Nothobranchius furzeri: one gene and its partner. The protein of the gene in region 1 purifies or fractionates together with the protein of each later gene. This does not show direct contact. Links are inferred from orthologs where the notes say so. Each region holds a gene or a part of one and is shown on either strand. Other genes may lie near its edges. The genes, in order: ppil2 and znf830.

Region 1 (3,822 bases):
ACAGCTACCAACATGTTAGCCAGACTGTCTCCTTTTCCTTCAGTATTCAAATAAACATTCAGAGTGGAACGTATTCAATGTGCCGTCCTGTTGGACTTGATCCACCCCGGTACCAAAGGCAAATGTGTGCTACATAACTCATCTGATGACTGGGAGACGAGTGGCCTGTGACCCGTTTTATGGATTAGTAAAGTCAGTTTCCACAAAAGACCATCCACTGCTTTTCCCGACTGCACCTTTTCTTTTCTAAGCCCATTTCTGATTCACTCTCCGTGCAGCTAGCAGGGTTTCTGTGCAGGTTACAATAGGAGAATAGAAAAGTAAACGGCGTTCCTCCCACTACTAAACCCAAACCAAAAACAGGGTTTCAGTCAGTAGAAGTAGGAAACATTGTTGTGCAGAGGTCATAAAAGAGGTCAAAGAGCTGACGGTGGGTGTTTTAGAGGTCACATCATATCTCATGTGTGGATGAGCTTTAACCTTTCGTACTCGCCATTTATTAGTATTGAAGAGGGCAAAAAGCCGACCTGAAAGCCATGTTTGTGTTTGCCCCCCCAGGCCCACTACTCAACAGGAAGAGTTTCTGCCTCCTTCACATCTACGGCTATGACTCCTGCAACGACACACGAAGCAGGCGAGTCTACATCTCACACAGATAGATCCTCTGCAGCAAAAACAAGCCTTCATCTCTCCTTAATCTGGTTGCGTTAATCTCTGTGCTGAGAGGCCTGGTTAGTCGTGTGTGAGCTTTCTTCGTGCTCGCAGAGCCGGTAATGTTGTCACCCTGTCAGAGAGCGGACCGCTGCAGCGAGAGGGAGTCGCTGTTATGCAACACTAGTAGGTTCAGACTTCAGAGGAGGACAGCGTTTGAATCTGGTGGCCTACTTCAGTGTTCTTAATGCGGCTGGGGCGTGTTTGGTAATCCAAGAACAGATAAGAGGTCTAAAAAGTATTTGAAATAAAAAGTTTAGCATAAATGTTCTGGAATAACAGACGTGTGGCTCCAGTCCTGGTTCTCCAGGGTCACGATCGGCACGTTCGGTGTCCCCTGCATGGTGGCACAGTTGGCAGAACTGTTGCCTAGCAGCAACGTGGTTGCGGGTTTGAATCCCAGTTACAGCCTTCCTCCGGTTTCCTCCCACAGAACGAAAACATGCATGTCGGGTTAGAATGAAAGCGTCGGCACAATAAAAAGAAACAAACATGTCTTCTAACCGGTTTGATGACCTGCTGAACGGGTATCTGGTGTGCCGGAGCAGGGAAACATCTAAAACATGCAGGATAGCTACTCAAGGACCAGGCTCCATTTGTTCTATTCAACTAAACATTTTTTATTTGGCTCAACTTCCTTTTTATGGGACGCTCGAGTTCAAAAACCCAAACTAGCTTCATTAAGTTATTTCTAGTTAATCAAAGAGCAGGAAGGTTGTTACGAAATGACCTTTTGAACCCAGAACCCTCTTTTCTCCGTCTGATTCATGTCTGCTCGTTAAAAAGCCAAATAACAGATCGGCTCTGATGGAAGCCGCGCGGAGCCAGGCGGCAGCACGGGCCGGCCCTCTGAAAGGACACAAAGGACCACGTGCTCGGTCCACCGGTGGAGGACGGACAGACGAGTGCTCGGGTCAGAGGTCATGAGCAGAAACTACCTGATTAAATGTTGCTACGGAGATGAGGAGAAGCCTGGTGGAGGTTTGGAGAGCATCCTGTGGTTAAATGACGTGAAGATCGATGTAGAAGACATTTTGGGTCAGAGCAGTGACGAAGATGGGAGGATAATGGTCTGGGGACGTTTCTGGATCACGCGGAGAAGTTCCCTAAAGCTTAGTTTAAGGGCTGATTTGTTTGAAATACTGTAGTTCAGATTCCTAAATAACTATTTCCCAAACTAACACTGAATTATCTTTATACTCCAACATTTCCAGGCTTATACAGCATTTATTTCATTATTTACATTTTCTGTCCGTTATGAAACCATATTTAATTATTCCGTGTTTATTTCTGTTCTCTGTACAGATGCCATTGCCGACGACACGGTTCGTTATCAGTATGTGAAGAAGAAAGGTTACGTCCGTCTGCACACCAACGTGGGAGACCTGAACCTGGAGCTGCACTGTGACAAGGTAAAAACAACAATCAGGCCAAGAAGAGCCGCTGATGGGGATGAAAACCGCAGTTATTTATCGTCGGAACAACGTTGGTCTGAACATTTAACCTGTTGTCTCTTAGGTCTTTTGGGTAAAACTACAAGTCCCATGATGCAGCAGTCCTGTCAGGAGAGATTTTCCATTAAAATAACCCACTTTTTTCTCCATCAGTTTCCAAACTAAAATAAATGAATCTGATACTTTCCTGTGGTTATGAACTCACCGAGCACAAACCGAGTCATCAGAAACTGAAACGGATCTAGATTCTGGATCGGCCGTCGCAGCTGCATTAAAACCCAGGGTATCCGCGGGTCCTTAAAAAGTCTTAAATTAGCTTTTCCAAATTTAGAGGCCTTAAAAATCCTTACAGTTTCCAAAGGTCTTAAATTATCAAAGACCCAATAAACAAGATTCTTTTATTTCTATAAAATGTTTGTGAATTTTTAGTTAGTGTTCAGCATCTTTTGTGTACGATGTTGGCGTAAGCGGAACCGTACACACTCAGTTGGTTGTGAAAGGGGGATATTTTTAGAAGGGCACATTAGCTGGTTGAGCTAGTGGGAGCTTGCGCCATGGGGAAGTGCAAGTTTAATGTTAACTGGATGGCTAATCCCACGTTAGCACCGGTTCCAGGCAATAGCTGAAATTATAGCTTAGATTTAATTTTAAAAATAGCTTAAATTTGGTCAAAGTGGCCTTAAAAAAGGTCTTAAAAAGTCTTAAATTTGACGCCCTTAAACCTGCAGATACCCTGAAACCAGAACCGTGCATCTCTATCGGAACCTTAAATGACTACCTGCTCAGTGGCCAGGTGGTAGTGTCCACCCTGAGACTGGGCTCAAACCCACGGTTGGGTCATACCAAAGACTTGGGACCCAATTGGTTAAACCACCAAATTGTTCCCGAGCGCAGCCACAGCTGCAGCTCACCACCCCCTCAGAGGACGGGTCACATGTGGAGAACAAATTTCACACCAAAGAGTGTGACAGCTGGTGGGACTTAACCGACTAAAGCTGATTTTATCGCATTTGATTTGATGAAACGAGGAAGTTAAATCTTAAGACTTGTCCATGGCTGACTTCTCCGCTTCCCGACGATCTAAAGTACATTTTCAGGTTTCCAAACGAGTTTGCATGTTCGACGTTCTTCAGCTGTGCACAGAAATACAAAATGAGCCTTCGTGATTCTGCTGCAGCAGCAGGGTCACAGATACAGAACTGTCGTCCAACTCCTGGGTTCAGAATCAGAGGAGAGAAATATTCATCAGCAGTTCCACCTCCAGATGTTCCAGAAATCTGTTGCATCTCACATCGCATCAGTAAATGTTTTTCTGTTCCAGAGTTGAGTTTTACTGCTAAAATGGAAGGAATGTTGCTGTTGTGGGTTTTAGAGGCTCTTTGTGCTGTTTGTTGGTACCGTTTGGCACAGAGTTGAACTTTAGCAGCGGGTTTGTGATGCAGGCGGAAACGAGCTCAGAAAGTTGTCCCCCAGCAAAAGAGCCAGAGAGTAAAATAGGTTTTACGAAGCAGCTGTTGTTCTTGGAAACCATCATCATGTTGCCAAGGAGGGGAAAAGTTAGCGACTCACTCCAGTAGACCCCATCACGGCCTAAGCCCCGCCCTGTTCCAGATCCGGCTCCGGTGAGATGTTTTACAGCAGGGCCCAGATACCGCTC
Region 2 (3,942 bases), on another chromosome or scaffold:
GATAAATAAACAATCCTAAAGCATTTAAAATCAACGAAATTAGCGTTTTACCATGTAGATCTTTCTGAGAAATGCTGTGGGTCCTAATGAGAGAAGAGAGCCGACGCACATCTCCTTTGTACACACACTCATGAACAGGGAACTCCAGCTCATCACTGGTCAGGATAATTGGGTTTTTGTTGTCATCGTCCTTCACTGATGCGTTTCCGTTGATGTTGTTTGCATTAAGCTGCTGCTGCAGCGCGGAGGTTTTAACTGATTTCTGAAAAGCCTTGTTGGATTTAAAGTGGTTGTAAGTGTCGTTAGAGATCGTACCGTTAGAGGTTTCCTCGTAGGTGTCCGTTATCTCCTGGTTTTTGTTTGCTTTTTTGTGATCTTTTCGCATGGTGCGGATCTTTTCACCTGTCATGGTGCAGACTACAGTACGCTAATTACTAGATTACAAACTGGTGAAGGCGTGGCGTTTATTAAAGCACTGAAAGGCTCCGCAAATAAACGACAAATATTTGCTTGTTTTAAATATTTGATTAAATATCGTTACAGCTGTTGTCCCGAGTCAATTAGCTCCCCCGGCGCTAGCTAGCTAGCCCACAATAAAATAATGAATATGGTGGGTGCGGCGATGAAAACAGAAATTAATGCTAAACCCAAAATAACACTTGTACTAAAATAACATAAAGCTAAAACGTACAGCGACTAACGACGGCTACATCGTTATCTATTCTATCGCACCTTAAATCTACGTTTTAATATTATCGATTCAGTCTTTGCAGCAAAAGTGGGGCGGACAGGTTGGTATAATAAACCAAAAAGCTAACATTCTCGCTAGCACCAGCGGTGTACCGCAAATCTCGCGAGATTATTGGTTTAAAGAGTAAATTAATATGATTAATTTAAAGACAGGATGTTGATTTAGTAACTTCTAAAATACAGCTAATAAAAGAAAATGTAAAAAAAATGTATTATTTTTGTTCAACCAAGGTATATTGTGTGTTTTAACACGAGACAAAAATTAAAGTATACACTTGTTCATTTTTATGCCGTTATTTTCAACGAAATATAAAATTGCTTTTCCAAGAACAGACATATGTTAATGTGATATTTTAGAAAACACAACTTTTATGACACATGAAAAGTTTATGACTCCGGTTTCCCACAAACCAAAAACATGCATGTCAGCTTGATTTGACACTTATATTGGCGCTTTCACATCCCACGTGTTAGTATTACTGACTTCCATACACTTTCATAGATACCTTAAAGGCTCATTTTAATAATTAGTTGCAGAAAAAATACATGTAATCTCAATTAATGTTATTTAGTCTTTTATTTTTTATATCTTATAGTTTTAGTGTTGTTTTTATATGCTTGTAGTTTGAGTGTCTGCCAAGAATAACTGAAACTTTTCCGAAAAAATCTCGTAAATTTAGATAGGCCTTTACCCAATTATCATTTTAAACACAGAAGGAATCGTTAACAAATAACTAAACATTGTGCAAAAACATAATATCAGCCATATTGTCAAATACGTGACTTTTAATAGTTATGAACCCAAAAGTTTCCAAAATGTTGCTAAACACGGTTAAAAAAGGTGGAAAGGAGTGAGAGGGGCATTCATTCAAAATCAGAAAGAAATAAAAAATGTAGGTTGTGTTATTCCAGTTCAAATCCAGTTGATGGCAGCAATGAGCTAGGCGTTACCTTTTACCCGCGATAAAGACGAAGAAGATACGTCATCTTCATGAGACGTATTTTTACGGTGTTGTGAGCTAGTTGCTACCTGGCTAACAAGACGTGTTATTAAAAATGGCATCCTCTAAAAAAGGAAAGAAAGCAGTAAATCAAGAAGAGCTTCGACGGTTGATGAGAGAGAAACAAAGACAAACCACCGAGAAGAATCGCATCGTGTCTCCTTTCGCTAAATACAACAGTCTCGGTCACCTCAGCTGTGTCCTGTGCAGCGTCCAAGTGAAGTCGGAGCTACTGTGGCCAGCCCATGTTCTTGGAAAGCAGCATAAGGAAAAGGTTGCTGAGCTGAAGGCAGCCAAGACTCAATCAGTGGCTGCACCGAGTCAAGCGGTGAAGAGGAAAGCGTCAGACAGCGAAGACGCTATTGGGAAGAAGGCAAAACCAGCGGCGGTTGATGGTCAGGCTGCGTCAGGAGTTCCTGGAGATTTCTTCGATAAACCCAGCGATGAAGCTGCTGTCCCTGCTCAAAAGTCTGCAGGACTGAGTCTCTTGGCCGGTGTTTATGACGGGGATGATGATGAGGAAGAGGAAGCTGATGAGACGAATCCACCTGCTCAGAAGACTGAAGTTGCAGGACTACCATCTGACTTCTTTGACAGCTCCATCCCATCCACACCTGCCATTTCCCATTCAGGATCAATCCTTAAAGCAGACGTGCAGGAAAAGGCCATTGAGAAGAAGGATAACACAGCAGAGGCGCTCCCTGAAGGCTTTTTCGACGACCCAGTCAGGGACGCCAAAGTGCGAAACGTGGATGCACCAAAAGATCATATGGACAAAGAGTGGGAAGAGTTTCAGAAGGAGATACGACAGGTGAACACCAAATCAGAGGCCATCGTGGCGGAGGATGACGAAGAAGGTCGCATTGAACGCCAGATCGATGAAATTGATGAACAAATTGAGTGTTACAAAAGAGTGGAGCTACTCAGGGATAAGAGAGAAGTGCTGAAAAGGAAGGTTGTGCACGTGCCTAGTGAACGCATTCAAACAGAGGAGACTGTTGAAGATGATGAGGAGGATGAAGAAGGGCTCCTGGGGCTTTTGTCTCGAGACTGGAGGGCTAAAGGGGCTCTGGCCTGAAGGAACTTTATTACTGACTCAACAATTATTTTGTTTAAAGATTTCAGTTCAAGATTTATAAATAGATTTGATTTAAAAATGCTCATGTTTTTCTATAACATTACAGTGATTAACACAAAGTTGCAAGATGTGAGTAAAACTCAGAAACAATATCAGTTAATGACCACAAAATAAAACCATTTATCATCTTTATTGGTGCCCAAACAAAAAACAATCATAAAATCTCATTTACAGCAACAATTTACACCATGATGGCGGCCAAGGCCCTGACAACATGAGCTCAAATAACCATTGTCCTGCATAACCTATTGATGACATGTTTAATGAAAAAAAAAAAGTTCATGTCACATCAAAAATCAACATTTGCAGAACTAAATCATTAAAATATTGTGATTAAGACCATAAATTAAGTTTCAACAAGCTGGCCCCCTTAACAAGATAACCAGTTAATAATACATTTGTACAAAGCACAACAAAGTTTTATATTTCTGCGATGTAGATAGATGCACTATTAAAATGCAATAAAATGTATTGGAAATAGTGATTGTCAGTGTTTCTTACACTACCTTTTATATATATGATGAGCTAGGGTTGCCTTTTTCCCACTGCAACATCTCAAACTTACTTATTGCTGCATGTCTCATAAACAACCACTTCAAAGTGTTCATAGCCCTTCATATCTACAAAACATGACAAAATAAATTTTAAAAAGTATAAATACATGAACAGATTATGTGATCCGTTATAAACCTGGTGAAAATAAGGAGGAATAAATACAGAACAAAAACACTTTGTTTTATCCCAAAAGGTTTAAACTGCAGTATTCACTTGAGGTGAATAATTGTCTGACAATGCCATTCCTAGTGTTCGTTTGTAAACACAGAGTTTAAAAGTTGTACCGGGTGTTTATGAGAGCATTTGGAACTTGATGGGTCAAGAAAAGCCTGATGGAAAATGGAGGAAATGGATGAAAAGAATATAGAAAGACTGGTGTTCGGGAATGAGATTAAAACAACACCAATGGTCATCGGTGGTTTACTGTAATAAACCAAAGACCTGGCTACATTAGATCTGAATGTTTTCCTTACAGATGCCTGTCTGAATTTTGTCTAA

Evidence for each region.
Region 2: the proteins of ppil2 (region 1) and znf830 purify together in Homo sapiens (co-immunoprecipitation; 4 studies listed by BioGRID and IntAct, counting the BioPlex papers as one, with this or other methods). This does not show direct contact. The link is inferred for Nothobranchius furzeri from reciprocal best matches to the Homo sapiens genes PPIL2 and ZNF830.

Annotation. Positions count from the first base shown.
Region 1 is NC_091750.1:38,469,675-38,473,496, forward strand, and holds part of ppil2 (RING-type E3 ubiquitin-protein ligase PPIL2), read left to right. Parts: intron 1-558; coding exon 559-634; intron 635-2,016; coding exon 2,017-2,123; intron 2,124-3,822. UniProt on the Homo sapiens protein: Has a ubiquitin-protein ligase activity acting as an E3 ubiquitin protein ligase or as an ubiquitin-ubiquitin ligase promoting elongation of ubiquitin chains on substrates.
Region 2 is NC_091751.1:50,905,134-50,909,075, forward strand, and holds znf830 (zinc finger protein 830), read left to right. Parts: upstream 1-1,696; 5' UTR 1,697-1,806; coding exon 1,807-2,829; 3' UTR 2,830-3,373; downstream 3,374-3,942. Other genes in the region: ankyrin repeat domain-containing protein 13C, read right to left, coding at 52-409.